3 linked regions of the Xenopus tropicalis genome follow. The protein of the gene in region 1 binds, or shares a complex with, the protein of each later gene. Links are inferred from orthologs where the notes say so. Each region holds a gene or a part of one and is shown on either strand. Other genes may lie near its edges. The genes, in order: smad7, yap1 and smurf1.

Region 1 (10,657 bases):
TTGCCGTGGTACACAACGGCAACACTGGTGGATTAGTTGGCCTTTATGTAAAAAAAGTGATGTTGTGTATTTTAATGGAAACACAGGCAAAGAGCATCCCTGCATATTATAATCTATACATAGTGCTGGGAGCTGCCATAATGAATGTTTGTACTCATTGGTGGGAGTTGCCATACGGATTTGGTATGTGGGTATATGAGTAGGCGCTGCCATACTGCTTGCCCCTGGATGAGGCTCAAATACTGTGGCAGCTTCCACTCTGTGCCAGAGCAAATAGACGGAGAATAAATATTCTGTGCAAATAAAGTGTCTGACACACACACACACACAGAGTAACGCAATGGTGCACATACACTGGCGACAAGGGGAAGTAATATTTCCCCTCACTTCCTAACACGACTCAGCAGAAGGCAAACATTACTGATGGACGACAGACAGACAGCTTCGCTTTGCCCCAATGCGACATCAATCGGCTGCGCCCAACCGACAGATCAACTGCATCTTCCTCGCAATAAATGCATGAACTTTCCCCTGGCGTGCCGGACTTACTTCCTGTCAGGGCAACCTGGGGTACTTTGCTTTGGTGCGGCAGGACACCCAGCGCCACGGAGGCCTCTTTATTACACATCTCGCTGCTTCCATGTCATCACTTGCTAATGAAGCCAATGCCATCACTCAGCTCCCCGGGACATGGGAGGACAGCGAAACTGACGCGCTTACGGCTTCCTTTGCTGTTTGTGGCCTCCATGCAGAAAGGTGAGCCTCGTTAAAGTTGGAGGTGCAAACTTATTTCGTGGGGAGCGGTGGGAATGGGAAAAAAAAAAGACCTCTAAAGGGGAAGTGAACCCAGAAATAAAATGTTGCCACAATGAAAAAACAAAACTGTAACACTAACTACACATTTTTTAAAGGTTTAAAATTCATTTGTATTGAAAGCACCAACTGTTCCGACTCCTGAGACAATGTTGCATAAGCAGCTGATTACAAGGCCTGGAAGAACAGAGATAAATAATAAACAAATGCTGCTTTCACTGGCAAGAACTGCATCCTTCGGCCACATTCCAAGCCCAGCTAGCCTTCTGCCTTGGGCAGGGGGAGCACCCAGAGTTTGGGAACCTCCATTCTAGCCCCCAGCTAGCCAACAGGCATTCCATTCTATAGCAAAGGCTGTGTCGGTCTCCTATGGGAGAAATGTGACGCCTTGTCAGAAAGGTGTAAATCAAGGCTTTATTGCCGGGGAAATGATGGACGAGCCTGGTTTACTGCCGGTGTGACATTAGGGCATAATCACAAATAAAAGAGCTTGCACGGATCAATATGCAGAGGGGGCGCCATTCATCTCCGCTCTGTGATATGGGCTGGCTTTGTGGCCGCTCCCTGACATTAGACATATTGCGGATATAAATAAATATATGTCTATCGGCAAGCCACAATCTTATTTGTCTAACAAGGTGAGCCAGATGCCAGGCGCAAGTTTTATTTGTCCCTCTCTGAGCGGCTCGACAGCGCCGGTGCCAACTATAAATGGGCTTTGGAGCTGGCAGGCAGCCCATTCAGCAACAGGCGCTCCAGGTCTTCTTTTAACCCCATTTTTTCCACTTACTGCCCTACTGCCCCCCCCCACCAATGGGGTCCCACTATAGATTCTAAAACGCATGCCAACAGGCAGCCATATTCCAAATGGGCATGTGAGCAAATTAACCAATGAGAGTGCAGCTGGAGCGCAAAAAAGGTGACATCCCAACAATGCACCATTGCACCGATAATTGCATTGTGTAACTGCTAAAACCTAAAGGTGCTGTTCTGTATATAAGCAATAACCTGAGAGTTACTAATATCTATCTATCATTGATTGTAAGCTCTTTGGGCTAGGACCTCATTCCAACTGAGTAGTAATACCCTACAATGTATGTATTTATACTTTTTATTTTTTTCATTTATATTACCTGCTCCCCTGTTTATATAATGCTACAATTCTCTGAAAACTATTAAAAAATGGGAAAAAAAATCCTCTTTATACGTTGATACACAAAAATAGAACTATTCCAAAAGAGATTTATCAAGCTTCCAAGTTATAGGGAAAACAGTGTTACAAAAACTCACACAAAATGAGCCACACAGATACAAAACTGCAGCAGAAAGTTACCCTTTACATGGGGCATTTAGAAAAAAATCATAAAAATGTGAAACAGAGAGTCACAAAACTGCACCCCAATCCAAATACAACTGTATGCAATAAATGATATAATGTCATGAGGTCCCACAACTAAGAAATCCCCAAAGTCACACAAAATGCCCCAATAGTTTTCAGAGAACCTCCAACCTTTTGTGTCTTTGACTCTTAAGTTATTGCAACTGTATCTTGTATTTATTTGTATACTTTGTATTTATCTATAAAGTAGCACTTTATAAATAAAAATATACATACATGGGTCATTTAGTAAAAATTCACAAAAATGTAAAACAGAGAGCCCAAAACTGCACCCCAATCCTAATACAACTGTATGCAATAAATGATCAAATGTCATGAGGTCCCACAACCGAGAAATCACCAAAGTCACACAAAATGCCCCCAATATCATTCAAAATTATTGCACACCAAAAATAGCCATAAACCTGCATTAAAACATCACAGAACTGTAGGACTCCAGGAGTCACAGAACTCAACTCCCCAGGGGGGAACCAAAAAAAAAAAAAAAAAAATGAAGCTGTCAAGATGACATAAATCAGGGCCCTCCGTAAAGCAACCCCCTGCCTCCCTTCCCAAAGGCCCCGGATGCACAAGTATGAAATAAAAGTTACTTACCAGTCGGTTTGAGAAAGTCCATGGGGTATCTGGTGTAGGGAGGTGGGGGAGATTCTGCAAAGGGAAGAAAAAGAGAGAAAATAAAGAGAGGTCCATGAGGAAAGGGAGAAGGAAGAAAAAAAAAAGGCAAGATAGAAACTTGTGATAACACTGGCATTCTTCTAGGCAAAGTGTTTGTGTAAGCCCCGGGGGTGAGAGGCAGGGCAGAGAGGCGGCGATCGCCTTGATATTTAGCAGTGAGATAAACAATAGCTGCCGCCTGGCGCCAGCCCTCCCTGCTATCAGCTCCTGCGACTGTCTGACCGGGGGCTCAGCCACTCCTGCCCCCATAATCCCCCTGTAGCTCCGCCGAGCAGTTAGCATTTCACAGAAAGGCAAAAAGATAAAGGGAAAGGGACTCTCTTTTTTTTTTTCCTTTTTACACCCCCTCCCCCTTCCCCTTGCTGCCCTATTTTTCTAAGGATTACAAAGTAGCCATGCAACTGCAATTTTATCTCCTTACTGTACTTCACTGTACGTTGGGGAAAAGACTTTTTCGCTATTCGCGCATTATACGCACAGCCGTATATAAAAGTGCGCTGAAACTGCCGCCGGAGAAAGGGGCATTGAAGCAAAAAGAGGGGGTTTACGCTTTACACCCCAACTTTAATAGGGGTGTAATAATAAAAGTAGGCTGGTAAATAGGAAACAGGGGGGAGGGCATGATTAATAAACACATTAAGCAGAACAGAAATAAGCTTAAAAGGTAAATGAAGGGAAAAACAATATATTACTAGGGTATAAGTGCAATAAAGGGAGGGACAGCCCCGATCCATTGATGGGGGGATGAATGAGATGTCAGTAGTAACTACTCAGCCCCCTGGCACTGTCACTACTGTCATAGGGAATAATACCTAATAATGACATGAGCCGAGACCCCCCCCCCAGAAATACATAAGCCCCCCCCCCCCTTTATTGCCACTGATATTAGCCCAGCAGACCTGCTATAGGACTGGAGACTGGATGATAATGGGGTGTATCTTGTATATGAAGGTTTCCTGGCAAAGTGACACAAGGCACCCCCACAATCCGTGTGACCCCCCCCATTCCTTTCACACAGTACAACGGAATGACATAGTGACAATGACACCTCCCAGCTTACACAGCAGACTGTACCCCCACAGCACCCACCGTGCCCACTATCCCCAAGCCACACTGTCAGTTATACCAAGGGGCAAGTTACTCTGCCCTGCTATTAGCCACAGCGACCAATGTATCCAATGTGCTGTACCCATGAAACCCAGAGCCATGCCCCCTTTGCCATTCCCGCTATACCCAAGGATAAATATGGAAAAAGAATAGTTGTGCCCTGAGATAAATATGCCCAGTCATATACCCCATTATAACTGTGCCAAATGGCAGTAAATCAGTATCCCCATTACCCATCACAATATTGAACCCCCAAGCCTGTGGCTGCATTGAAATACTAATGCCAGACTGACCCTCTGATGCCAACTACACACACCAGCTGTGCCCAGTGGGTGCCAATGTCCCTGCAGGACAGGGTGGCAGTCAGAGCAAATCCACCCTGCCATGTGTGTGTGCCAGTCTGGGTGTCAAAGTCCCTGCAGGACAGGGTGGCAGTCAGAGCAAACCCACCCTGCCATGTGTGTGTGTGCCAGTCTGGGTGTCAAAGTCCCTGCAGGACAGGATGGCAGTCAGAGCAAACCCACCGTGCCATGTGTATGTGCCAGTCTGGATGGCAGTCAGAGCAAACCCACCCTGCCCTGTGTGTGAGTGCCAGTCTGGGTACAGGGGGCACCTACCTAGTTCGCACAGCCTGCTGAGATGGTGCGGGTTGCAGCAGACCAGCTCCGGGTTGTTCTTGCCATAGGAATCGCAGCAACTAAGTCGTTTGACCTCGGACGAGTGCCTGAGGTCCGGCCACCTGAAGACCTTGCAGAGCAGCAGCGGCAGGGAGAAGGGCTGCTGCCCCAGCCTGGAGTCCAGCTTGGCCGCCGGCAGCAACAGGCAGGGGCTGCGGGCTCCCCCTTTACACTCCACCGCCTGCAGCAGCCCCTCCAGCTGCTTCTCCTTCAGCTTCTTCAGCACGGAGTGGGCGAGGGCTTTCAGTTCTGCAGCCTCCGAGCCCCCCAGCGCCTTCCCGGGCACCTTATTCGCCGATTTGCCCAGGCAGCAACCCCCGGCTCCATGAACCCTCTCCCCGCCTTCCCCTTCCCCGCTCTCCCCGGGAGCTCGGCTCCTCCAGAGTCGCCGGACGAGCACCGATCGTTTGGTCCTGAACATGCGGGACGAGAGCAAGGCTTCCCGGCTAAACAACGTGCATGACGCCCGCAAATCATGAAGAATCCTGGATCCGAGGCCGGGCAGAGACCAGCAGCAGCAGCCCGGGAGGGTAGGGGGGAGCTGGGGGTCCGACAAGCCAAAGCGATCTGGAACATGCGCCAGTCTTTTAGGGGAAGAGATCCTGCAAAGTGCGGCGGGGGGATCCGAGTCGCAGCGACAGGAATACTGCAAACGGCAAGCAGCCGCCCCGGCTACACATACAGCGGGCTAATGCTGGGCAGCCGAGCCGGGAGCAGCGGGGCATTGAATGGAGCACAGAGCGCTGCCCGGCTTGGCCTGGGATCTAAAGGGCATTTATACACAATCCTCCCGGTAGGAAAGCGGGCTCCCCCCACAACTCGTACATCCACAAACGAGCGGGTCTGCCGATAATATCCCTTGTGTATGGGGGGCAAATGGGCAGAGAGTAGGGGCACTAGGGCGGCAGAACCTTATAGATAATCCGTACGCGATGCGGTTCCAGTAAAGAAGTAGAAGCCCTGGGTTGCGCCTCTCGCTTGTTTAATCCACAAGAAAAATCCTTTATCCGGCCGCTCAGTAGGAGAGAGGGGAAAAAAATAAAGTGGGACTTGTCTTTTCCTCCTTCTCAAAGGGCTGATCCGCCCCCGTCTGTGTTATGGAAATGTGCGATGGGGAGAGGGGGGGGGGAGAGGAGGAGGGACCGGCCGCACAGCGGAGACACGGCGAGGGGCAGCGGGGAGAGGACTGGTATCCCTCCGCTAACGAGGGCCGGCTATGGGGGTTCACTGGGGCACCTACACTCTACTGGGGGGGTGCTGTGTCCACAAAGCTCACACTCACAGCACCCAGTTACCAAGGGACTTCACCCTGCTCATTGCTGTCAGTGCCCCTCCTCTCTCCCTGACTGTCTCTCACTTCCCCCTCCCCTGTCTGTGCCTGTCTCTCTCTCTCCCCGGCTCTCTCGGCTCTGTCAGTCTCCTGTGCGCAATGGCGCGGCCCATCACGTGGGTGTCTAGACAGCCTGTCGCTTTAACAAAAAAAAAAAACCCCAAGGATTGTGTTGCGCAAAGGCTTCGGGTTACTGAAAGCTCCTCTTTTATGTCACAGTCAGTCATATGTGTGAGTCTGAGTGAGAGTGTGAGTGAGAGTGTGAGTCTGAGTGTGAGTGTGAGTCTGAGTGAGAGTGTGAGTCTGAGTGAGAGTGTGCACTATGCATTTAGTGGGGCATAAAGCCATCAGTGTAACATTAAAGGGGAGGTTAGCTTTTCAGTATGGCCAATTCTAAGCAACTTTTCAATTGGTCTTCATTATTTATTTTTATCATTTTTAAATTATTCCCCTTCTCCTGCCTCTTTCCAGCTTTCAAACAGGGGTCACCGACCCCCGCAACAAAAACTATGGCTCTGTGAGGCTACAATTTTATTGGTATTGTTACTTTTAATTACTTTTCTTTCTGTTTAGAAATATCAGTCTCTCATTGAAACCAATGCCTGGTCACCAGGGGCCCCCACACCCCCAGTAGGGACTCCCGCCGGCTGCCTCCCTGCGGCCCACCAGGTTTTTTCCTGGTGTCCCGTCGGCCCAGTCCAATCCTGCTGGTTGCTAAGGTAATTTGGACCCTAGCAACCAGATAGCTGCTGAAATTCCAATCTGGAGAGCTGCTGAACAAAAAGTGAAATAATTACAGAACTACAAAAAATAATGACAAACTGCAAATTATCTCAGAATATTACTCTCTATCTCATACTAAAAGTTAACTCAAAGGTGAACTACCTCTTTAGATGTAAGTACCTGGGTATAATAATTACTCCCAGTGGCAGGCTGATACACCTTTATGGCATTGCTGCTGCTGAGCTGTGGGAGAGGATGTAGGCTAAGGCTGTTAGGGGTTGCTGGGAGCTGTAGTTCAAGCTGTGGGGAGCAGATTGATTACTAATGAATAAACTGCTTGCAGGGCCTGGCAGGTATAAGGAGAATACATTATACATACTCGGGTTTCATGTTGTTTCTAACATAGAGGTAGTAGATGCATGGAGTGAGCTCTCCGGGGAGAGGGTATCGGCCTTAGTTATCAGCTCAGCTTGACTGTGCATGAATGGGGTTAAATGGCCGGCTTGTGATGTTGGAGGGGAAGTCGGGCTGAGAGGTTTCAGTGCAGGTTGTTAGGGCTGGACAAGTCCCCCTCGAGCCGCTACTTAAATCTCACTTTTGGCTCGTGACGTTTGGGTACAAAGTGTACATGTTGCAACGTCCGCAAGCTTGTCTCTAATTACTGTCTGCCTCCTACCTGTCCCTCTGTCTGCCTCCTACCTGTCCCTCTGTCTGCCTCCTACCTGTCCCTCTGTCTGCCTCCTACCTGTCCCTCTGTCTGCCTCCTACCTGTCCCTCTGTCTGCCTCATACCTGTCCCTCTGTCTGCCTCCTACCTGTCACTCTGTCTGCCTCCTACCTGTCCCTCTGTCTGCCTCCTACCTGTCACTCTGTCTGCCTCCTACCTGTCCCTCTGTCTGCCTCCTACCTGTCCCTCTGTCTGCCTCCTACCTGTCCCTCTGTCTGCCTCCTACCTGTCCCTCTGTCTGCCTCCTACCTGTCCCTCTGTCTGCCTCCTACCTGTCCCTCTGTCTGCCTCCTACCTGTCCCTCTGTCTGCCTCCTACCTGTCCCCCTGTCTGCCTCCTACCTGTCACTCTCTCTGCCTCCTACCTGTCCCTCTGTCTGCCTCCTACCTGTCCCTCTGTCTGCCTCCTACCTGTCCCTCTGTCTGCCTCCTACCTGTCCCCCTCCTACCTGTCACTCTGTCTGCCCCCTACCTGTCCCTCTGTCTGCCTCCTACCTGTCCCCCTCCTACCTGTCACTCTGTCTGCCTCCTACCTGTCCCTCTGGCTGCGTCCTACCTGTCCCCCTCCTACCTGTCACTCTGTCTGCCTCCTACCTGTCCCTCTGTCTGCCCCCTACCTGTCCCTCTGTCTGCCTCCTACCTGTCCCCCTCCTACCTGTCACTTTGTCTGCCTCCTACCTGTCCCTCTGTCTGCCCCCTACCTGTCCCTCTGTCTGCCTCCTACCTGTCCCTCTGTCTGCCTCCTACCTGTCCCTCTGTCTGCCCCCCTACCTGTCCCTCTGTCTACCTCCTACCTGTCCCTCTGTCTGCCCCCTACCTGTCCCTCTGTCTGCCTCCTACCTGTCCCCCTCCTACCTGTCACTCTGTCTGCCTCCTACCTGTCCCTCTGTCTGCCTCCTACCTGTCCCCCTCCTACCTGTCACTCTGTCTGCCTCCTACCTGTCCCTCTGTCTGCCTCCTACCTGTCCCCCTCCTACCTGTCACTCTGTCTGCCTCCTACCTGTCCCTTTGTCTGCCCCCTACCTGTCCCTCTGTCTGCCCCCTACCTGTCACTCCGTCTGCCTTCTACCTGTCCTCTGTCTGCCTCCTACCTGTCCCTCTGTCTGCCTCCTTCCTGTCCCCTCCTACCTGTCACTCTGTCTGCCTCCTACCTGTCACTTCTGTCTGCCTCCTACCTGTCACTCTGTCTGCCTCCTACCTGTCCCCCTCCTACCTGTCACTCTGTCTGCCCCCTACCTGTCACTCCGTCTGCCTTCTACCTGTCCCTCTGTCTGCCTCCTACCTGTCCCTCTGTCTGCCCCCTACCTGTCACTCCGTCTGCCTTCTACCTGTCCCTCTGTCTGCCTCCTACCTGTCCCTCTGTCTGCCTCCTTCCTGTCCCCCTCCTACCTGTCACTCTGTCTGCCTCCTACCTGTCACTCTGTCTGCCTCCTACCTGTCACTCTGTCTGCCTCCTACCTGTCCCCCTCCTACCTGTCACTCTGTCTGCCCCCTACCTGTCACTCCGTCTGCCTTCTACCTGTCCCTCTGTCTGCCTCCTACCTGTCCCTCTGTCTGCCTCCTACCTGTCCCCCTCCTACCTGTCACTCTGTCTGCCTCCTACCTGTCCCTCTGTCTGCCTCCTACCTGTCACTCTGTCTGCCTCCTACCTGTCCCCCTCCTACCTGTCCCTCTGTCTGCCTCCTACCTGTCCCCCTCCTACCTGTCCCTCTGTCTGCCTCCTACCTGTCCCTCTGTCTGCCTCCTACCTGTCACTCTGTCTGCCTCCTACCTGTCCCTCTGTCTGCCTCCTACCTGTCCCTCTGTCTGCCCCCTACCTGTCCCTCTGTCTGCCCCCTACCTGTCACTCCGTCTGCCCCCTACCTGTCACTTTGCCCCACTACCTGTCACTCTATCTGCCCCTGGGTCATTAGGCACTGCCTGTATGAGTACTTAACTCAGCCTGTCCCACTGGTTATGTGCGCTCTCTCCCAGTCTGAGTGCTCTCTACCTATTATATCCGTGTCTGTGTGGGTACTTCGTGCCAGTTTGGGCAAGTACTGTAGTCCAGTCACTGTGAGCTCTGTATCCTGTTCTGGGTGGGTACTGTATCCCAGGCTAAATACTGTATCCCAGGCTAAATACTGTATCCCAGGCTAAGTACTGTATCCCAGGCTAAATACTGTATCCCAGGCTAAATACTGTATCCCAGGCTAAATACTGTACCCCAGGCTAAGTACTGTATCCCAGGCTAAATACTGTATCCCAGGCTAAATACTGTATCCCAGGCTAAGTACTGTATCCCAGGCTAAATACTGTATCCCAGGCTAAATACTGTATCCCAGGCTAAATACTGTATCCCAGGCTAAGTACTGTACCCCAGGCTAAATACTGTATCCCAGGCTAAATACTGTACCCCAGGCTAAATACTGTATCCCAGGCTAAATACTGTACCCCAGGCTAAGTACTGTATCCCAGGCTAAATACTGTATCCCAGGCTAAATACTGTACCCCAGGCTAAATACTGTATCCCAGGCTAAATACTGTATCCCAGGCTAAGTACTGTATCCCAGGCTAAATACTGTATCCCAGGCTAAATACTGTATCCCAGGCTAAGTACTGTATCCCAGGCTAAATACTGTATCCCAGGCTAAATACTGTACCCCAGGCTAAGTACTGTATCCCAGGCTAAATACTGTATCCCAGGCTAAATACTGTATCCCAGGCTAAGTACTGTATCCCAGGCTAAATACTGTATCCCAGGCTAAATACTGTACCCCAGGCTAAATACTGTATCCCAGGCTAAATACTATATCCCAGGCTAAATACTGTACCCCAGGCTAAGTACTGTATCCCAGGCTAAATACTGTATCCCAGGCTAAATACTGTATCCCAGGCTAAAAACTGTATCCCAGGCTAAATACTGTACCCCAGGCTAAGTACTGTATCCCAGGCTAAATACTGTATCCCAGGCTAAATACTGTATCCCAGACTAAATACTGTATCCCAGGCTAAATACTGTATCCCAGGCTAAATACTGTATCCCAGGCTAAATACTGTACCCCAGGCTAAGTACTGTATCCCAGGCTAAATACTGTATCCCAGGCTAAATACTGTATCCCAGGCTAAATACTGTATCCCAGGCTAAATACTGTACCCCAGGCTAAGTACTGTATCCCAGGCTAAATACTGTATCCCAGGCTAAATACTGTATCCCAGACTAAATACT
Region 2 (10,062 bases), on another chromosome or scaffold:
GCAGAATTGACCCCCACGTAACTTTCCTTTCTTTAAGTCTGCAAATAATACAGACTATGTATTTGGAAATCAACTGGGATACAATGCTTCCTTGGAATGGGAGGAAGAAGAGTGCAAAATAAGGGGCAGAAGTGGCATTTATTATAAAGTTCTTTGCGCACCATGCTGTGTGGCCAATGCCCTCCCAGAAAAGATTCCACATAGACGCAAACCAAAAAGTTAAATGTAAGCCCTTAGGGGAGGAAGCACTGGATACATATAAGCCCTCCCAGCTGCTAAACTGCAAATTCCAAGCCTCCCCCAACAGCCAGCAGAACTGTACATAAATTCAAAGCTAATTTGGATTGTCCCTGTACAGGGACTCCACAGACAGACTCTTAATACCTGTCCCGTATGGCAGATCCATGGCCCAGCCCTTCGCCCTGGAAGCAGTTTTGGCCCTTTTTATAATGCAAAGAGTAATGCAGCATTTAGCGCCACAGTATTTATTGCAAACTCTTTTCAGTGGTTGGTGTTTTAGTACCATGGCCTCTAGTAGCTGCTTTTAACTGGGTTTGGGCTGTGTTTCTCCAGTAAAGAGTTCTGCATGTACTCTACTGTCCCAGTGCCCTCTCCACCACATCATAAAAGTTCATGGAGGAGCCAAATAAGGGCTGTTACTGGCTATTAGGGGCCTCTATGCACACTATCAGCTTACAGGGGCTTTATTTGGTAGTAAATCTTTTTTTAATTCAACCAAAACTTGCCCCCAAGTCAGGAATTCAAGAATAACTACCTTGTTTGGGGGCATTGGGAGCAACATCCAAGGGGTTGGGGAGCAACATGTTGCTCACAAGTCACTTGTTGGGGATCACTGGCCTGAACGGAGACTACCAAGGCCCATCCTTCCCAAGCCCAAGATTTAGTGCTGGAAAAACCCTAGAAGTGGCGGGTCTGTACTACACCTTTGCTAATTCATTAGGCCAGCTTTTGCCCCATCAAAGCAGAAACAAAAACGTTCTACTCAAACGTCTTAAGAACCTTCTGCTAATATGAACAGGGCTCAACTTCCTTTAGAGAAAAACAGATTGTTCCAAATGGCCTCATTAGTGTGGATTTTAGAAGGACAAGAGGTTGGTTCTCCATCAACACTACATCATCAAACCAGATGAAAGCTCACCTCCCTAACCTTCCCGGTGGCTTAAGCCTCCCTTTGATGAGTACACTCCCGCTTTTCTGTTTACTATTTGGCTTGAGAACAAATGGCCCCGAAGAGGGCTGTTCTCCTTCCTATTGAAAACAAAAGAGCAGAATAAAATGGATGTAGGGGGTCAGCTGTTTCTTAGATCACTGCCAAGACGGATCAACAAGAAAGTTGTTTAACCCTGTATAAGATGAGGTATGCAATATTAAATACATTCAAATCAGTTAGCTAAAAAATTACAAGACAACCCACGTCACAAAAACATGAGTCTGTCATTCCGATAAACTGCAATGCAGTTGGAAATTATATTGGCCAATTAGTAAATCAACAAACCCTTTTTTTACGAGAGATACTTAGTATGAAAGCCGATACTCTGTAAACCCAAGCAAGTGTTTCATCATATTTGCATGATATGTGACTTCCCATCTGAATACTGTGTAAATAAGTGTTCTGTTATATACAGGTATGTGCAGGAAACTAATTGCCAAGATTACATTTAATTCAATTGCTTACTGCTCTTCTAAAAACCAAAAACCCAGGTTGTGTTAGTGGCACCTTGACCAGGTTACATGCTGCTTCCTTGTAGGCTCCTCCACATGGAAAATGTGGCTTCCACTTAGAGAGATACAAAGAAAGATGGAGGGACAAGGCTCTTGCTGTAGGCTCCACCACATACAGAGAGCGAAAGATAGCAAATTATGCTTCTGGTTGTAGCCTTCCCTACATAGAGAGACCACAATAAAGAAAAACATTTTTCTAGGTGTTAAGTTGCTTCACCTATAAAACAAAGATGGCAGAACATGATCTGGGTGTAGGTTCCTTCACATACAGATAGAAAGATGGCAGAACATGGATCTGGGTGTAGGTTCCTTCACATACAGACAGAAAGATGGCAGAAAATGGATCTGCGTGTAGGTTCCTTCACATACAGATAGAAAGATGGCAGAACATGGATCTGCGTGTAGGTCCCTTTGCTGTAAGGGCTATGGCAAGTGGGTAGCTTTGTTGCCTGTGGGAATACTGCCTTACCTATGGGATATATTTCTCCTGAAAATGCCTTTCCCGTTATTAACCGGTGGATTGGCGCTTATAAAACACTTTACATATGGCAATGCAGCATAATTAAGTTAAAAACAAAGACAAAGGCATTTTCCAGGAATAATGGCAGAGTGCAGTGATCCACAGGTTAGTAACGGGAAAGGCATTTTCGGGAGGTTTGTCGCCCTTGGGAAATCTCTTTGTGTGGCTCTGCCCTAAGGCTTCAATTTTATTGTTACTGTCAGTTTTACTGCTATTTAAATCCAATGCCTGGAATTTCAGCAGGATCCCAAATATCAGAATATCCCTATACAGCCAATATCATACTATCATACATATCATAGTTAAAGATGAACTACTCCTTTCATCCCTTATTTCTTGATATACCTGTATAAATAAAAAGTTCAAGCTTTATTAAGGTTACAGCTTTTGCTGTACAGGTATAGGATCTATTATCCAGAATGCTCGGAACCTGGGGTTTTGTGGATAAGGAATCTTCCTGTAATTTGGATCACCAGGCCTTAAGTCTGCTAAAAATCATTTAAACATTAAATAAACCCAACAGTATTATTTTGCCACCAATATGGATTTATGCAGCTTAGTAAGGATCAAGCACAAGCTACAGTTTTACTATTACAGATATAGGATCTGTTATCCAGAAAGCTCCAAATTACAGGAAGACCACCTGTCACAGACTCAATCAAGTAATTCAAATTTTTTTTTACATTATTTCCATTTTCTCTGTAATAATAAAACAGTACCTTGTACTTGATCCCAACTAAGATATAATTACCCCTTATTGGGGGCAGAACAGTCCTATTGGGTTTATTTCATGGTTAAATGATTCCCTTTCCTCTGTAATAATAAAACAGTACCTGTACTTGATCCCAACTAAGATATAATTACCCCTTATTGGGGCAGAACAGTCCTATTGGGTTTATTTCATGGTTAAATGATTCCCTTTTCTCTGCAATAATAAAACAGTACCTGTACTTGATCCCAACTAAGATATAATTACCCCTTATTGGGGGCAGAACAGCCCTATTGGGTTTATTTAATGGTTAAATGATTCCCTTTTCTCTGTAATAATAAAACAGTACCTGTACTTGATCCCAACTAAGATATAATTACCCCTTATTGGAGGCAGAACAGCCCTATTGGGTTTATTTAATGGTTAAATGATTCCCTTTTCTCTGTAATAATAAAACAGTACCTGTACTTGATCCCAACTAAGATATAATTAACCCTTATTGGGGGCAGAACAGCCCTATTGGGTTTATTTCATGTTAAAACGTCTTAAGAAAAATTAAAACATAGCAATCCAGATTACAGAAAGAATCCTGATCCGGAAAACCCCAGTTCCGGAGCATTCTAGATAACCGGTTCCATACCTGTACAGAGAAAAAGGAAATCCCTTTTAAAAATTTGAATTATTTGCACATAATAGAGTCTACAGGGACACGGCCTTTCCGTAATTCTGGTTAACTGTTTCCGGATAACAGATCCTATATCTATTTCATTTACGAGGTGGGGAATTTTACACCATTAAGAAAAGCACTTTCCAAACGAAGGGACAGGGTTAAACATACCTTCCCCAACCAATCAGGCCGATGCTTCCCAGGGAGAAGCTCTTTCAATTAAGGACTCGGGATGGCTGCAAGAGAACAACCGCTCTCGCTCATGCAGATGAGACTGCCAGACGTGTGTGTACTTTACAGTCTCGGGCCCCTTATTGTTTCCTCTGAAACTCGAGCCCTTAACATAGAGAGCAGGGCTGCAAGGAGAAAGATACATGCACTCTGCAAGGCACTTACCTCTCATATTTACTATGACTTGCGGGGGAATATTTACGGCCATAATACACTCAGGTAGGGCTTGTGTTCCCAGGCCAGGAAGGGCACTTAGTTAAGGCTATCATCGCCTGATAAAAGCCAACTTGGTCCCTCTAGACAGAGTTGGTAGCTTATTGGGCCCTCCTGCTTGCCTGCCCAATATCTGGCTAAAAATCAATCACATAACCTATTGTGCAGGCTAATAAATGCCATTAGGTGAGGGCCGTACGCTGATCCCCATTATGATCAGATTGCTGGCCCACTGCGTCCTGATCTGGCAGTGTGTTTGCATCTAATTTAGGAAAAGACTCACTACCTTGGCAACCTTGCCCACTGTGCATATCTTAGCCTAATGTCCTTAGACAAGGACATTTGCCCATCACTACTCTCTGCTAGATACCAGCAGCAAATAAAACATTACAGGTGCCATCAGTCTAAAGGTCCCCATCGGTATCAGCAGCTACAATCGGCTCGTGTATGGGGACCTTAACAAGCTCCATAGAGGTAAAACACTACTAGGCTGATTTACAAACACAGGGGATAAAATGCACAAGTGCCCCTGCCAGTAGCAGCCAATCAGAAATTAGTTTGTCTATTAAAAGCTGGAAAACGAAAGCCAAGACATGACTGGCTTAGCATTTGCACAATGCAGCAACTAAGTTCATAAATCAGCCCTGCAATAGATAGCACGGCTACAGGCAATCATACCCCAAAATGCCTTGGTGCAGGGCTCGTCACTAATACCTCCTGGAAATGTAGCAGTGCAACTATCCATACAATAACAATTATAGCCTGGTCCTTCCGTGGGAATAATGTATTGCAGTGTACATCCCTAGGGACCTATGTAATACAGAAACTTCGATAGAACCCTTAAATAATTGGAGTGAAATACTTTTAACTCAAATTTGCTCACGTCATGTAAAACAATAGTAATTATGACCTAGTGCTGATAAAGAGGTTGTAGCTTTATGATAGACTATATTACCCAACAAGTCTGAAAACCAGAGTAGTGATGTAGAAAGATAACTTTTCTGTATTGCCCCAGGGCAGGGAATCAATGGCCTCTGTAGTGGTGACTGTAACCAGCCTGGGACACGGGGCCCTGCTTACTAGGATTGTTTATACCAATAATATAATAGCTGAAGTAGAGGAACAAAAGAATGCCTTTCCTTTTTCACACAAGGGATCAGTAGCAGCACACCAACCTGCTCTGCTGAACAGAGTTATTTTTGTAGTATTTATGAGATTTTGAAACAAAAAAAATTTTGTGCCTAAAAAATGCAACATTCAACATTGAAAAAAATGCATTAAGTTATTTGTAAATGTAATTGCTCTAGAAATCAGTACATGTCTGACTGTCTATATTCTCTGCACCGCTGGTTCTGAATCCTAAAAGAATGTTGCAGAAGCCAGTAGATTATCGGATTATTGGGGCACAACTGCCCCCTTGCTGAACAGCCTTGGCTATGATAATGCCCACAGCAGCGGCGGCTGATGGCACCTAAACTGGTGGGAAATGCAGCTCTAAGCGGTTTGCTGTGTCTGCTTCAAACTATACCAGAGATGCCAATATCACACAAGAAAATATAAGGTTTATAGGCAATTAAATGGAAGCAAATCATGTAATAGCATGAAGGTATTTGTATATAGGCTAAGGTGAGCCCTAACGGACACAGTCAAGAAAACAAAAAACCTACTTCAGAAAGTATCGTTGCCCGGAGGGCGTCTTTGCCATTTCCCATCCTGGCGGTAGAGGAACATCGTCTGGAATTTCATAAGAAGACTGGCGCAGGTGCTGAGCGTTGGGTGCTGGTGCGGGGCCGGGAACCACCCCCGGCGGAGAAAGGGCACCAGGGGACACTGCCCCTAGCTGCAAGGAGGCCGGGGAGGAATGAGCGCGGACATGCTGAGGAGTTAGAGCTCCAGCTGATCCCCCATCTGTGCTGGCCTGCAAAGAACAAGTGGGACAATATGAGTAAAGCCAACACTGACATTTTAATTATCAGCAGAGATCTAAACCTGAGAAAAAATGCCTCCCTGATGTCAAAATGGCAATTGGACCAGTCCCTGGATCAACTTGTATTAAAATCTATATCCCATAACCCTGTATTCCCGTGCTTTTGTACCAGCTAACAGGTGACAATTGCCTAAAATTAACGGCACTGATACTCGGTCAGTCAACTATCGCCTGAAATGCACTGGCTTCTGCTAATGTGTCTCAAAAGTCAGAACGAGCAGTGCAGAGAATAACCAGGGACAGATAAATTATACTTTTAATATCAATAGTAACATTGGCCTCATATGTAAGAAAAAGCACTACGTTTGCCAAGGTGCAGTAACTTATAGCAACCAATAAGATGTTAGCTTTAAAACAGGTGACCAGTAAATGATACCTGCTAATTGGCTGCTATGGGCTACTGCTCCTGGGCAAATTTAGTGCTTTTATTATATAACCCCTTGAAGATTATACTGGAGGTATATATACTGGAAGAATAGATATATGGATGTACAGTATATATACTGGAAGAATATTGCTGTAATGATACTTACCTTTTCTTTCATTAGGCAAAATGTTATTTTATAGTTTACATGCCCTTTAAAATGAGGTTAAAAAACACTGGAATGGGGTTGGCACAGGCATGCATACACTGATATAAAACCCTAGTGTGGGTGCCCAGTTTTCACACCCCCATTAAATGCAGAGGTTCATGGGAACCCAGTAACAGGGCTGCACAGCTCCTATCTAGCCCCGGCCTGTGTACGATTCCCCCCGCCCCGCTGTGCCTGCTCTATAATCCTAAAATGTCTCACTGTCAGTTATTTTGGGTAACAGCGCATCTCTCATTGGCCTCTATGCGACACAGTAGACAATGTATATTTTAGTCTCAATATCCCAAAATATCAACCGGCAGCACTTGGGACATAAGGTTTATATTTAGATCAATGGCTGCAGCTTTGGGTGACGCTGGATTTGGGGAAAGGCTCCGTGAGTCAGTGATGCTTGGGAGGGTGCCAGCGGGTGCTGCTCGGGGGCCTCAGAGCTACAGCCCTGTATTCTCAGCAGCCATGACTCAATGCATTCAGTTTATTTATTAGCAGATGTTCCCATCACACTCCCTTACAGGGCAGCATGGTGTCTGTCCCATTACTTGCTCATGTTGCACGCTTCCATTAAAGGGAAAAGAAAACTAAGTATGGGAAGGGGTATAACAACAGGGGGAACGGACCCATCAAAACAGTTACATGCGAGTATAACCATGTCACTTCTCTAGCCATAAATACTAGATTGCTCCATACAATACAAGCTAATGATTCTAATTGATACGCACCCCACCAATGTTACTTGGAAGTATGATTGCAGAACAGAGAGGTTAATGTATTAACAGGGGCAAAGCTACTATGGATCTAGTAGCCCATAGCAACCCCATATTAGCCACTGACAACAGTACTGGTCTCCTGAAGCCAATGAGCCATGACACTGCTGCGACCCTGCTGCACCCACCCCAAACCTACTGCATTAGTGATATGGGGGCCAGGAAGAACTAAAACCATCACTAAGCCATTGTAGGACCTGCACTCAATCCATCCCCGCATCTTTCCGCTCTGTGCGCCCCTTAAGTTCCATGACAGGGAAACAGAGGAAGAGTGCACTTTCCCAGTCTGACCTGTGCCCAACCCAAATCCTCCAAATTTCAACCCTAACCTGTCCGAGTTACTTACACACAGGTTCTAAAAACTGTCTGGAAATACTGCATGCACAAAGGGAATGCTAAATACAGAGTGGGAGAGAAAACACAATTTCTATTTCCCCTGCATAATATTACAATTCTGCACTTCATTTGGAAGCTGTGCCAGTTTGTGCCTCACTACAGCCGGCCTGGATAAACCGGAGCAGGGGTCCCCAACTGGGCTGTGTCGCACTGGGGCACCTGTTAATACATGCATTGCACGTGTGATTGCACACATAATGACACGTACGACACAATCATGCTCCATATGCCTTGTACGCGCTCTGCTATTGCGTTGCATTATGCGCTGCACCACATTTTGCGTCAAGCTAAAGGAGTATGAAATAAAGAAACTTTAACATTTGATAACATGGAAGATTTCTCCCAAGGCTACAGATGCATACGTGCCTAGAAGCACAACAAACAAACAAGTGTTCATTCTCTGGGTTCTCTTTGTTTTCTGCCCACTTTAGAGACTGGAGAGAAGGAAACATGAATGAACCCCTTGGGGTACAAGTCTACATTTCAAACTGTAATCCAGTTGTGCTGAACAAACCGATCAGGTACACTTATTTTGGGATGTACGCATAGATGTGACGTGTTTGTGGGGTAAATTAAATCAAATTGGGCAGCCCTGATACACGAGAAGCACCTCGTACCAGCGTTGGGCAGAGCACCCGTTTTCCCTTCAGCCTATATATTCATATGTCCGCATCATACAATGCTACCGTCAGATACAATAAATAAGCCGCCTTGGGTGCCTGCCCAAACATGACATTACAGTTTTCTCTCACTAAGGAACAATTCTTTCCGAGCTGGAAGGCCTGGAGTCGCTCCCTCCATTCTGCACTAAGAAAACACTGATTAATAAGAGCTTGAGCTGAATAAAAATATGAAATATATTCATTTGGTCAGTTATTTCTATCGGCTGATTACATATGATGACCCAGCTAAACTGAACACATTCTCCGTACATGATGCAGACAAAACAGGGCCTTAACCTGCAACATGTGAACATTAAGCACACATGGGGCACACATGGGCAAAGCTATTCTGACCAATAAGCGGACTGCAATCATTGCATGCATGGGTAGGCAGCCTATATAGCCAGTGGCCACCTAGATGGGCCAACATGATCCTCAGCCCACACACAAGCATGTGTCAAACAAGCCTGGCCAAAACAATCCAGATGTAGCCACAACATGTGCCTTTGTGTGATCAGCTAAGCATACATCACTTGCATACAGGGAATTTTCATGCCTTGGTGTTACTGGCCCTCTGAGTGCTGCCTCATGGGAAGTTCCTTATTAATATGTTTATTATTGCTTTGGTTGCTACACGGCCAAGATCTGATGGGGTAACAGATGCTTCTGTAGTATATATATATGCTGCTGAACTTTAGGCAAAGAATTTAAATCTCGGCACAATTCGGCTCCCCGTATTCTGGGCCAAAGTGACTTATCCAATTGCTGGCTCTAAAGGGACATCAGAGTTGTATCTAAAGTAAGAGGAAAAAAATAAAGGGTTGTATAGGCATTTATACATAATATATTGTTACTTTGCACTGGCAAATATAGAGTAGAGGCTGTAATACAGTTTCTATGTCAGGGGTCCCCGACCTTTCTAACTAGAGAGCCACATTCAAAAGTAAAAAGACTTGGAGAGCAACACAAGCACCATAAAAGTTCATGGAGGAGCCAAATAAGGGCTGTGATTGGCTATTAGGGGCCTCTATGCACACTATGAACTTACAGGGGCTTTATTTGGTAGTAAATCTTGTTTTTATTCAACCAAATCCTGCCCCCAAGTCAGGAATTCAAAAATAACTCCCTGGTTTGGGGGCACTGAGAGCAACACCCAACATGCTGCTCACGAACCACTGATTGGGGGATCACTGCTCTAGAACAGCTACCATGAAGCTGGGGGGCTGCCATTCAAGCTCTAATAGGGCTCTAGGGCACACATTTGCATGGCAGATCACCTATGGAGAATGCTTTTATGACCCAAGTGGAGATAAACAGAAGACCAAGGGCCAATCATGGCTCACAGCACACAGGCTAAAAACTTCTCATAGCAAACAGGCCTGCAGGACAAACAAATCCAACCTTTAATTACAATCCATTAGTTCACTTGTGTTATTGGCTTTCATAGCGCAAGTGGAAGGGCCTGGTACATTGCCATCAAACGCTAAAGCTGGCCATACACGTCCCAATATTATCGTACAAATACTTGTTTCGTATGATATTCAGAGTGTGTATGGGGGATCGACGAGACGACAGAT
Region 3 (10,062 bases), on another chromosome or scaffold:
GTAATGTTCACACCTGTAAGCCATTGCATTGTCCACACCTGTAAGCCTCATCCATTATTTACAATCACAAGCCCCACAAGGCAGCATAGGTCAGGCAGAGTATGGCACACACAGGCAGCATAGGGCAGGCAGAGTATGGCACACACAGGCAGCATAACTGTATATCTAAGGTGGGAACAATCAATGGGGCATTGATTGTTCCCACCTCAGATATACAGTTATGCTGCCTGTGTGTGCCATACTCTGCCTGCCCTATGCTGCCTGTGTGCCATACTGCGCCTACCCTATGCCACCTGTGGGAGGTGAACCTGGCAGGGGTTTGTTTAAGGAGTTTATTAGCTTTTGGAAATAGTGGTTAGGGGTCCCTAAGGTGTTTAATTAGGTGCTGGGGTTGCTGTGCTGTCCACAGGGGAGGAGGCAGCATATGAATTTAAGGGTATGTCTTAATATGACTTAATTAACTTTTTTTCACATATGAGTGTTAGGCGATATCCCTGCAGTAAACACCAACCATTTGTCTTCAAAATGTTTGTGTTAATATGGATGTAGTATAAAAAGGGCAGTGGCTAAAACTGACTTCCGTTTTTGGCCCTCCACCATGTTTGCCAGAGAAATTCTGGCCCTCGGTACCACAGGGCACGATTATATTTACATCGCACATAGCATACCTTCCACTACAGCTATAAAATTCAAAAAAAAGTTATGGTGTTACCGTGTATATATTGACATTTTACAACAACAACAACTGAGATGCAGACCAATTACACAAATCACATTTAAGCTTACGCAGTGTGTTTAGGCAATCTGAAGTCTCTGTAAGAACCTGGCATCCATCTGCAGAATTTCAAACCAGTCAGTTGCCCCTACTATGCAAAAAAAAACAAAACCCTGATCTACTAAATAAATTGCTAAGTAATGTCACACTGGGACACATACAGGAAAGACACCAGTGTTGGTGGGATTTTGCACAAAGTATAGTGCTTTCTAGTGTTCTGCTACCAAGGCTGATGCTGCCTCCTCCCACCTCACTTACCTATCTCACACACAGAGCAGGGTAGGGAAGATCATTATGCTTGTTTAGCGAGTGCAACTGTTCTACGTTAAAGGTCAAAATATGGATTTTCCCACAATAAGGCCGGATCACTGCATGTAAAGTGTTTTACATGGGGGGAATAAACCTCTGAATGAAAAGGTAAATTTTGGATTTTTTGTTGGCCAGCAGGAGAGGAAATTTCACATAAGTGACAACACGTACATGTCCTTTGACCCTAAACAGCAAAATCACTGCCAAAATAATAAAAAAAAAAAAATGTTATTTAAATTTACCAATTTTACTGCCAATGTGTAACTTTAGAAAAGGTCTAACTTTACCTACTGTAAGAGCACCCGGATAAAACTCCCAAAATCATGTAATGTACTATTGGCCGTAGGATATCTGCCAGAATATTACTGCATATAGAGTTGTCTGTTGTTCCTCTACTAAGCTCTGTATGTGCAAGTATCATAACTTGTTGTGTTTGTATATAAGCACACAGGTTAGAGCAGTGATACCTAGCTACTGGCCTGTAAACCACATTTCTTGACACCCCTTTAAATGCTGCATGCAGTAACTTCAAAGGTGCTCATTTAACAAATGCTGGCCAAGTCTTGGAAGCCAAAAAAATGTTCTGGTAAACATGGGCTGCTACAGGCAGGTAGTCTATATAGTTCTATGAAAAAGCCAACCCAGTCTTTATTTTGCAGCCTGCACAATATTTTTTTTATGACTAAGTAGCTCTCAAACACTTTTTAAACTTGAATGTGGCTTACAATGCAACTAAAATAGGTTGGGGGAGCTCTGGCTTAAAGGGAACATAAGATCCTTAGAGACCAAAATATCTTAACAAAAATACTTACAAAATCCAAACCAAGCTTTTATGCAGCTCTGGATCCACAGATTCCAAGTCAGACAGCTGAATGGGCTTTCCCAAAAGTTGTTTGTAGAAAGGAACTGTAAACCCCCCATTAATGTAGTGTCCATGAAACACAGCCAATCCCATGATTCGACCAACAAAATGGAAATAAGATAAATGATCCTGTAGAGCAGAGTGGAAACAGAGTAAATTGACTTTGTATCTGAGTTTTGATTTTAGATTAAACTAAATCAGCAGAATTATTAGATGTATCTCAGTCCTCTCTGGCAATTAATACTAGGTAAAGGCAGGTAAGAAAATGGGAAGAATCTACCTTAAACACACATTGTGTCCATTACCTTGAGCCCTGCTGTCCAAAAGAACAAAGCTTGCCAACTAAAGCATTTTGTGAGCTTCGGAGATTTGAAGCGTAACATTTTAGCGAGCACCTCCAATTGTCAGGTGTCCATACAAATGGCCCATGATGTTAGCTGCTCAACTGAACACTTATGTTGTTCTGCAAAATTATGATCTGCAGTTATTTTAATATTGTGTAGGTTAACCTATGGATGGCAAGTACTAATTTCCTAGTTGCCGATGCAGTCCCTTATCCAATTTAAAAAAAAAAAAAAAAAAAAAAATCAAACTTGTCAAATTGACACCTGACCAATTTTCAACCAGATATTCAACTGCAGCTATTCTTAAAAAAATATGGTAGTTTGCACAGCTTCTTTATTGCATCAATGCTTTAGTACTCGCCAGATAGAATTAATATGTTAAAATTTTTACTGTCAAACTGCTTATAATTTTTTTCAGCCATTTTGCTGTGGCCACTAAAAGATCCAATGAGCATCATACTATACATTAATAATTAGTAGCAGCATCTTCTGCATAAAAGATTTTGTTGTTTTTGAAAAACAAGTCAATTATGGCTAGTTTCCCACAAAAAAAAAGTAAATTTCTAAGTTAATTTGTTTGTAGCTCACCGCAGCAAAGTGTCCCAATTTGCCACTACCTGTCAGCTGACCACAATGTCAGGTTTAACACTTACTGGATTAATAGATGAATCAGGATTAATTTGCAGAGTATAAATATTGTCTGTAGAATATTGGAAAAGTCCATAATATGGATTCAGCATTTCATGGCATAGTAAATACAGCCACTCCCTGTTTAAAAGAATCACATCAAGAATGAACAGACAATCTGAGCTGTTCTCTGAAAACACAAAATACATAGCAATAGCTTTTTCTTTTTTTTATGAAACTTTATGAACTTTATGAAATTTAAACTTTTTACTAAAGCATACAAACACCAAATGCCAAACACCAAAAAGCCAAATGTTCTGAAATTTTTTTTTAACTGGTTTTGTGAATTATAAAACATAACTTTACATAATGATAATCGACTTAATTCTAATAAGGTTGGTCCTGAATGTTAACTTCATGATACATATGAAGCCAGTAGCTATTTTTTTTTCTATTTATAACTAATGGATATATAATAAGGTAAGTGAAGGATATAGTATTACAGGGCTCTTCTAAACTGCTATGCAAGAGCATATAATATACTCCCTTGCACATAACAGCATTTTATCATAACCATTTTAATCTCCTTGTCTGCTGACCCTTAATGTCAGCAAAACATCACTGAATATGACAGATACAGGCAAGAAATTAATAGGGACAGTTTCCTATGGTGGATCATGGCCTGTAAATAAATACTACAAGATTAGTATTTAAAAAAATATAACATTCAAAATGTAGAGAGGATATATTTAGGATTAAGTCCTCTTTTCAAACAGATCTCACCCTAAACTGTGAAAGACAAGGGATCTCTTTGCCACTAGTACCTTGCACAGCTTTTGCCTTTTATGTTCCCCACTTCTGCTATAATAATCTAAAAAACAACAAATTTTCTAAAGGAATTCAATTCAATTTAGACTTTAATTCCATAGTTAGTGAAGTGGTATAACAATCTTTCTTGCAGTCATTTTAAGTTGTTAATGTACAACAATATTGCTAAATCATCCAATCATACATAAGCTGATAAAGAGCTTAAGTGCCGAAGGTCCTCCGACACGAAGACAACTTTCGGGTCAGTGTACACAGGAATTCAAGCACCCGTCGCCTTTTCGCCGTGCTGCTATGGAGCAGTTCGTCACTAAAATTCTACACGAAGCATTTAAAAAAGGCAAGGGGGGAAAGGCTAGACCTAATATTAGAGCTGTTTTGTGACTTATACGGTATTTAAATATTTATGTGTTACTGTTCCTTTAATTGCAGCCAAGTTCTGCTTTCAGGTTTCCTTCTTTTTGTTTTTTTAAAGTTTGATGCTATTACAGGAGCACATATAAGTGGATGCTTCAGCCTTACTATTAAGCTTTCAACAACCAGAGTGGTAGGTATTTAAAAATTACAAAGAGGCTGTTCACTGATTACATCTTTATGTGGGGGGTTTAACTTAGCCCGCAAATCTCCCCATGTGCCAATGCCCTTAGCTACCAAAGGACAGGTACTATTTCCTGAGTACATGTTTAAATTAAAATATTTTATTGGTTTCTATGGTTTACTGCAACTCGGCAAATGTGTGCCTTTTATTAATTACATGGGGGCAAGTAATTAAAAAGTACAGATGAAACCAAGACTGTGGAACCCAGTGCACTTTTCCACAAGAGTTATCTAAAAAATATATTTAAAAGTATTTCTTACATTTGTAAAACTGGTGTGTAGGCCGCCATCTCAGTGCATTGTACCTGAGTCTGAACTTTCAGAAGGAGCCAGTGTTACAATATTAAATACAAAAAAAAAAAAATCTGTTTGCGTTTTTGAAAAATGGATTTCAATGCAGGATTCAGCTGGAGAAGCTCTATTAACTGATGCGTTAAAAAAAAAAAAAAAAAATTATATATTTGTATATTTTGTTATATTTGTATTGTTACATATTTGTTGCTAGAGAGGCATCAGATGGGGTTTTTTGCCTTCCTCTGGGTCAACTAGCAGTTAGGCAGGTTATATATAGGCATTATGGTTGAACGTGATGGACGTACGTCTTTTTTCAACCTAACTTACTATATTACTATGTAAAGACCAGCATTAAAATACTAAGAATATGAGACAACTGTCCAGATGGGGGGGAATGTTTGGTTGTGATATTTACAAAAGGGTAAAAGGTATTAAGAGGTATTTCTTGTCTAACATAGCACAAAGTAAAAATGCAGCCCATAATTTGGGATAGTGTATAATAAACATCACTGTATAAGTCATACACAGTAAATATTTTAGGCCCACCATCAGTACATGATAAGTAGGACAATACCTGGCCACTCCACCATAGTCAAGTCCTTCTTCCCCACGAAATTTCACCATCAATCTTTTCTTAAGGTCTTTCGGTCTCATCTTCATTATCTGCCTATAGGACTCCTGCATATGGGCAGATTATCGGATTATAAAACTACAGCCTTGATAGAAACTATGCAGACAAAAAGTTTCATAACACATTTTGGCTCTGTCACAAAAAAATGATGCCAGTTTTAAACACCAGTAAGTAAAAAAAATCTAAACTAAAAGTAAGAAGGAATAGAAAGATAAATACAAATAACCTGTTAAAATATTTTGTTGAAATAATATTTTGTTCTTGAAAAAATTGTCAAACCTTGAAGGTTTTTAGGGGCGTTCAATAAAAAATAAATCAATCGTTGATGTTCTAATCATAAGGTCACTACATTTTCTATGATAAAATATTTCATTGCTTAAAACATAGAAAATCAGCTACATTACTGCAAGTTAATATCTGTTTTTTTTTCTTGCTAGCATGTCAAGGCTCTTTCCACATTGCTGTTTAATTCTATCCAGTTTAACAAAATAACTATAAAACCCCCAACTTTTTATTGTGATGAAAGCTTTCTTTGGGGGGATGAGTTCTGAAACATTTATAAAGATATGATAAACGGTTTTACAATACATAATACATTCTAAAATTACATTTTAATTTGAGCTACCCTTTTAAAAATCTGCTACAAATCTGTAACCAAACTGATATATATATCTTTTGAATCCTCTCTATTTTAGCTTTGCATGGCTACCTTACCTCAAAAATTTCTTCCCTTGACACTTCAACACGGCAGTGCCCTGCCTGAGGCTGCAGCAATGATAACTCATGTCTCAGGACTTTAAGTTTCTGTACCAAGTCTCTCTCATATCTTTGAGTAGGAAATTCATCCCCCTCTTCTAAAGATCCATCACTCTGCACTGGTATAGCATTATTTGGCTCTTTTAGCTGGGACTGATGACTGCAAGAGATACAAAAGTTTTAATATGATAAAATCTTAATAGTTACATTATAAGCAATGAAAAATACAGTACAATGCTATTCAAATTCAGCTTACTACTTCCTAGTATACCCTGGCAATTGGAGGGACACAAAATTCAACTCTTGGCAACAAAGAGCAACAAAGAATCATCTTATTTTCACTGTAAGCCCTGAGAGTGTGTACCATTGTTTTTCATTATGTGTGTACCTACTTCAATCAGACTGCACCCAGGTACAAGTTGTCTTTATTTATATAGCCTATTAAACTCTACTGTGCAGGTCACCACACAAGGGTGAAAAGTAATAAACTCAGATTTACTACTATTACATGGCAGCACAGAAGCTAGTAAATACTGCCGCAGAATTAATCAGTCCTGTAGCAACAGCTTCTATGACAAATGTCATACTTTCCGCTAATGTGCTGAAGATTTCATTGAGTGAAGAGATATTGACACATTCCTGTAATAGTAAACAATATGTCATTATTACTCCTAATGCAGCACCTTAGGTTTCCCCTAGGCCAGCCGCATTTAGTACATGTGGAAGTGCACCAGCCATTTGGCGAAAAAGGAGCTTCTTGCAGACATGCTGGGCTGTACGTGGCATTATTGTTCTACAGGCTGAAGTACAAAAGTAAGTGCAAATGGGCTGCGGGCAGCTTAGGAGCGTTATTTTACTAAATCAACAGTGCAGTGCTAACAAATACTGACACGTGGAACGTGTCAGTATCTCTAACTCCTTACAGAAGCCCAATGCAGGCTGGCACTCAAAACAAGAACAGAATCAGAAAACTGGCACTACTGCATATGCATGATTATTAATACAGGATTGCTGAACAGCTGGGCTGGTACAATGTAATAAAAATAGCATTTATAACTAAATTCTTTTTAATTTTTTTTTTTTAGATTAGTGCTTTATCCCAAATCTTTATCTCATTCTTACTTTATGATGTGATGTAGTCTTGGGTCTGTGAACTGCGTTGTTCGATTATTGTGGTCTACAAAGTATATTCTTCCAGACACAGTGGTTCTGACTTCCCATCCAGTGGGCAAAGGGCCAAGGTCATCACAATTCACACTGTTAAGGTCTCTAAAACATGTAAAGTAAAAACAAATTAAAGTTCTACCTGAATATCAAATATTCTGTTTGTAGAGATAGTACAGCTAAAAGAACTAGTAATACACACATACAGTAGGATGCTAACATTTGAGTACCTCTTGCTAAAGATTCCACTCAGTGTGGAAATTTTAGAATTTATTTAGTATTGATATATCATCACATTAAAATCAAATTAAAAACTTGGCTGGCCAGCCTACCTTATTCACAACCACATATAGTTACATCCATTTAAGATCATAAATGCACTGTATTAGATTGTTTAAAAACACAAAAAAAAACCCCTATTTCAAAAAACCTTAAATAGCAAGAAAAAATTGAATATTCCTCTTAAAGAGAGATGTATTGTGTTCTCTATGCAGGTTCCACTTCAATTAATCTGGTGGGGGTTGGTGAGAGGAAAAAGTTCTTAATTGCAGAGTTAATTCCCTTTATATATTCAAGCAAGATTTATATATAGACCAATGTCTCTTATAAGTATCCGTGCTGCACAGTCTTTAGTGGCCAATATAGTTGCACAAGTTAGTGAATTAATTGATGTTACTTATCAGTTGTATCAGTTGTAATGTGTTTAATTTTCAGTAGCTAAAAAGATCTCTGGGGCAATTCCTTTGTTCTAACTTCCTTTTTGGGGTCTAAATTCAAGATAGTTTGGTAACCTTATGCACAATGGCACCAATCTGTTCTGTGGACCCCTGGCTTTCATATTTAGGATGTTTTTTCTTGATACATAATGTTATGTGGGAGATAGGATTCTTGAAAGTGGAAGCTTTAAGGCGATTTTCTTTTTTTTCTTTTCTCAGGTTCTCCTGAAAAAAACGATATATAATTTTCCTACATAAACTAAACCCCCTCTAGTAAATGCCCCCAAAATGAGAGAGCACAGAATGTTTACAAAATGTCTGGCACGGGGGGGGGGGGGGGTGGTGGTAGTTGCCTCCAATAAAAATAATAATTAGATCTTAGTTTGGATCAAGTACAAACTTCTGCTTTATTATTACAAAGGAAAAAGGCAAATCATGATTTAAAAATTATTTGCTTATAATGGAGACTATGGCCTTTCTATAATTCTGAACTTTTGGGATAACAGGTTTTTAAGTAGGTTTGGCTGAAACAGAGTGGTGTTGAACCATTCCATGAAGCATTGTTGCTTGCACAAGTATGACCGGCATTGAAGAATCATCTGTAAGCCTTACCAGCAACCTTGTCATAAACATCAAAGTCTGATTTATGCAAAATATTGTCTAGACAAGCAAGAGGCCTTTTGGAAACAAGTGCTGTGAACTAATGAAGTAAGAATTTCACGACAAAGGTTTGTTTAGGAAAAAAAAATAATTCGATAAAAAAAAGTATGTTGCCAACTGTTAAACATGAAGGTGGATCCATTATGCGCTGGGATTGTGTGGCAACAAGCGGCACAAGAAATAATGTACTTGTAAAAGCACATTATGGAAGCCAATGTGAAACAGTCAAGAAACTGAAGACGAAAAAGGGATGGCTCTTACAAAAGGACAGCAACCCTAAACATACCTCTAAAGCCACCACAAGCTACTTTGGGGAAAAAAGGCCTTCAGCCTTGTGGCTTTATAAACTCTTCAGTGACTTCTAATAGCCTTTATATTTTACAATAGGGGCTACTTGGTTTCATATAATCCCTGTACACAAATCCAAAATGGCAGACCTGGCATAGCAGCACAGATGATTAAGTAAATGGAAATCTTCTAGAACAGACAACCCTCTACAGACGATCGCTATGACTCAGTTACTGTTCTTTTATGTTCATTCATATTATATTTCAAAGCGCTTTAGAATACAGAGGAATACTTTGCTATATAATGGTACATTTTACAAAATAACCTCTCTGAAGTACACAGGAGTCAGCTGTAAATGTACAGCACAGTAAATCTAAAGCACATTTAGAAATTGATGTAAGATGGCAGTGTACAGCCGGCACCTGAACAGTGTCCACCAATGCTTAATGATTCAAAATGTAGAACAAGGCATGTTTCTTTTATCAGTGATGACACAGTAGGGCTCATTTATCAACAATGTGCAAATATGCCAATGGTCAGTAACCCATAGCAACCAATCAGTGATTGGCTTTTTTGAGCCAGCTGCAGGTAGAACAATGAATTCAACAATTTGATTGGTTGCCATAGGTTACTGCCCATGGGCAAAATTGCCCAGTGTTGAGAAATTACCCCCTGTGATTTCTGATGTGTCTGGGATATTATTGCTAAGTGGAAAAGTCATTCTAATTGGCTCACGTGTAAGAATTTGTTGTGGAGTGCTATGCAAGCTCAAATAACACGTCAAGAGGGCAGGGCAATTCTGAACTAAAGTAGGAATGATCAGAGCACACGATTCTTGGTAATGTCTTGCAGCATACCACTGGCATTTTTGCAACAGTTAACTGTTTGGGCAAAGCTTTGATACAACCTATACAACTGGCTTAAGTTAATGGGAAAATGTCTATGCAGCAATTTCTGGCAGAAGTTTTAAAAACAGGTAGAAGAGAAGTGGCAATGAATAAAAAAAAAAACACACACACACTTTTTATGTTTAGCATTTTCAAGCAGCCTCTGGTTTCTATACAGAAAACTTTTACATCAAAAATGAATACACAACTTTATAATTAAGCATTTTTTTTTTTTTAAACACAGCTATTCTTAATAACCAGATGCTCTTTGGTTGCTATTCTTTATCTTTAACGCAGCATAATAAATGGTTCCCTCAGGCTCTATAT

The links.
Region 2: the proteins of smad7 (region 1) and yap1 are in contact, whole or in part, in an NMR structure (PDB 2LTV), measured with the Homo sapiens proteins. The link is inferred for Xenopus tropicalis from reciprocal best matches to the Homo sapiens genes SMAD7 and YAP1. Residues at the interface, in NP_005895.1 of Homo sapiens: Ser206, Pro207, Pro208, Pro209, Pro210, Tyr211, Tyr214, Pro215, Met216, Asp217; in NP_001123617.1 of Homo sapiens: Thr241, Gln242, Asp243, Tyr247, Ile249, Asn250, His251, Lys254, Thr255, Thr256, Ser257, Trp258.
Region 3: the proteins of smad7 (region 1) and smurf1 are in contact, whole or in part, in an NMR structure (PDB 2LTX), measured with the Homo sapiens proteins. The link is inferred for Xenopus tropicalis from reciprocal best matches to the Homo sapiens genes SMAD7 and SMURF1. Residues at the interface, in NP_005895.1 of Homo sapiens: Glu203, Glu205, Ser206, Pro207, Pro208, Pro209, Pro210, Tyr211, Ser212, Arg213, Tyr214, Pro215, Asp217; in NP_065162.1 of Homo sapiens: Glu313, Arg315, Ser316, Thr317, Arg321, Tyr323, Val325, Asp326, His327, Arg330, Thr331, Thr332, Phe334, Thr335.

Annotation. Positions count from the first base shown.
Region 1 is NC_030677.2:205,590,720-205,601,376, forward strand, and holds the start of smad7 (mothers against decapentaplegic homolog 7), read right to left. Parts: upstream 6,156-10,657; 5' UTR 5,093-6,155; coding exon 4,612-5,092; intron 2,861-4,611; coding exon 2,807-2,860; intron 1-2,806. UniProt on the Homo sapiens protein: Antagonist of signaling by TGF-beta (transforming growth factor) type 1 receptor superfamily members; has been shown to inhibit TGF-beta (Transforming growth factor) and activin signaling by associating with their receptors thus preventing SMAD2 access.
Region 2 is NC_030678.2:162,284,118-162,294,179, forward strand, and holds part of yap1 (transcriptional coactivator YAP1), read right to left. Parts: intron 6,002-10,062; coding exon 5,751-6,001; intron 1-5,750. UniProt on the Homo sapiens protein: Transcriptional regulator with dual roles as a coactivator and corepressor. Critical downstream regulatory target in the Hippo signaling pathway, crucial for organ size control and tumor suppression by restricting proliferation and promoting apoptosis.
Region 3 is NC_030685.2:47,059,208-47,069,269, forward strand, and holds part of smurf1 (E3 ubiquitin-protein ligase SMURF1), read right to left. Parts: intron 7,290-10,062; coding exon 7,143-7,289; intron 6,181-7,142; coding exon 5,979-6,180; intron 5,312-5,978; coding exon 5,208-5,311; intron 3,059-5,207; coding exon 2,944-3,058; intron 2,076-2,943; coding exon 1,897-2,075; intron 1-1,896. UniProt on the Homo sapiens protein: E3 ubiquitin-protein ligase that acts as a negative regulator of BMP signaling pathway. Mediates ubiquitination and degradation of SMAD1 and SMAD5, 2 receptor-regulated SMADs specific for the BMP pathway.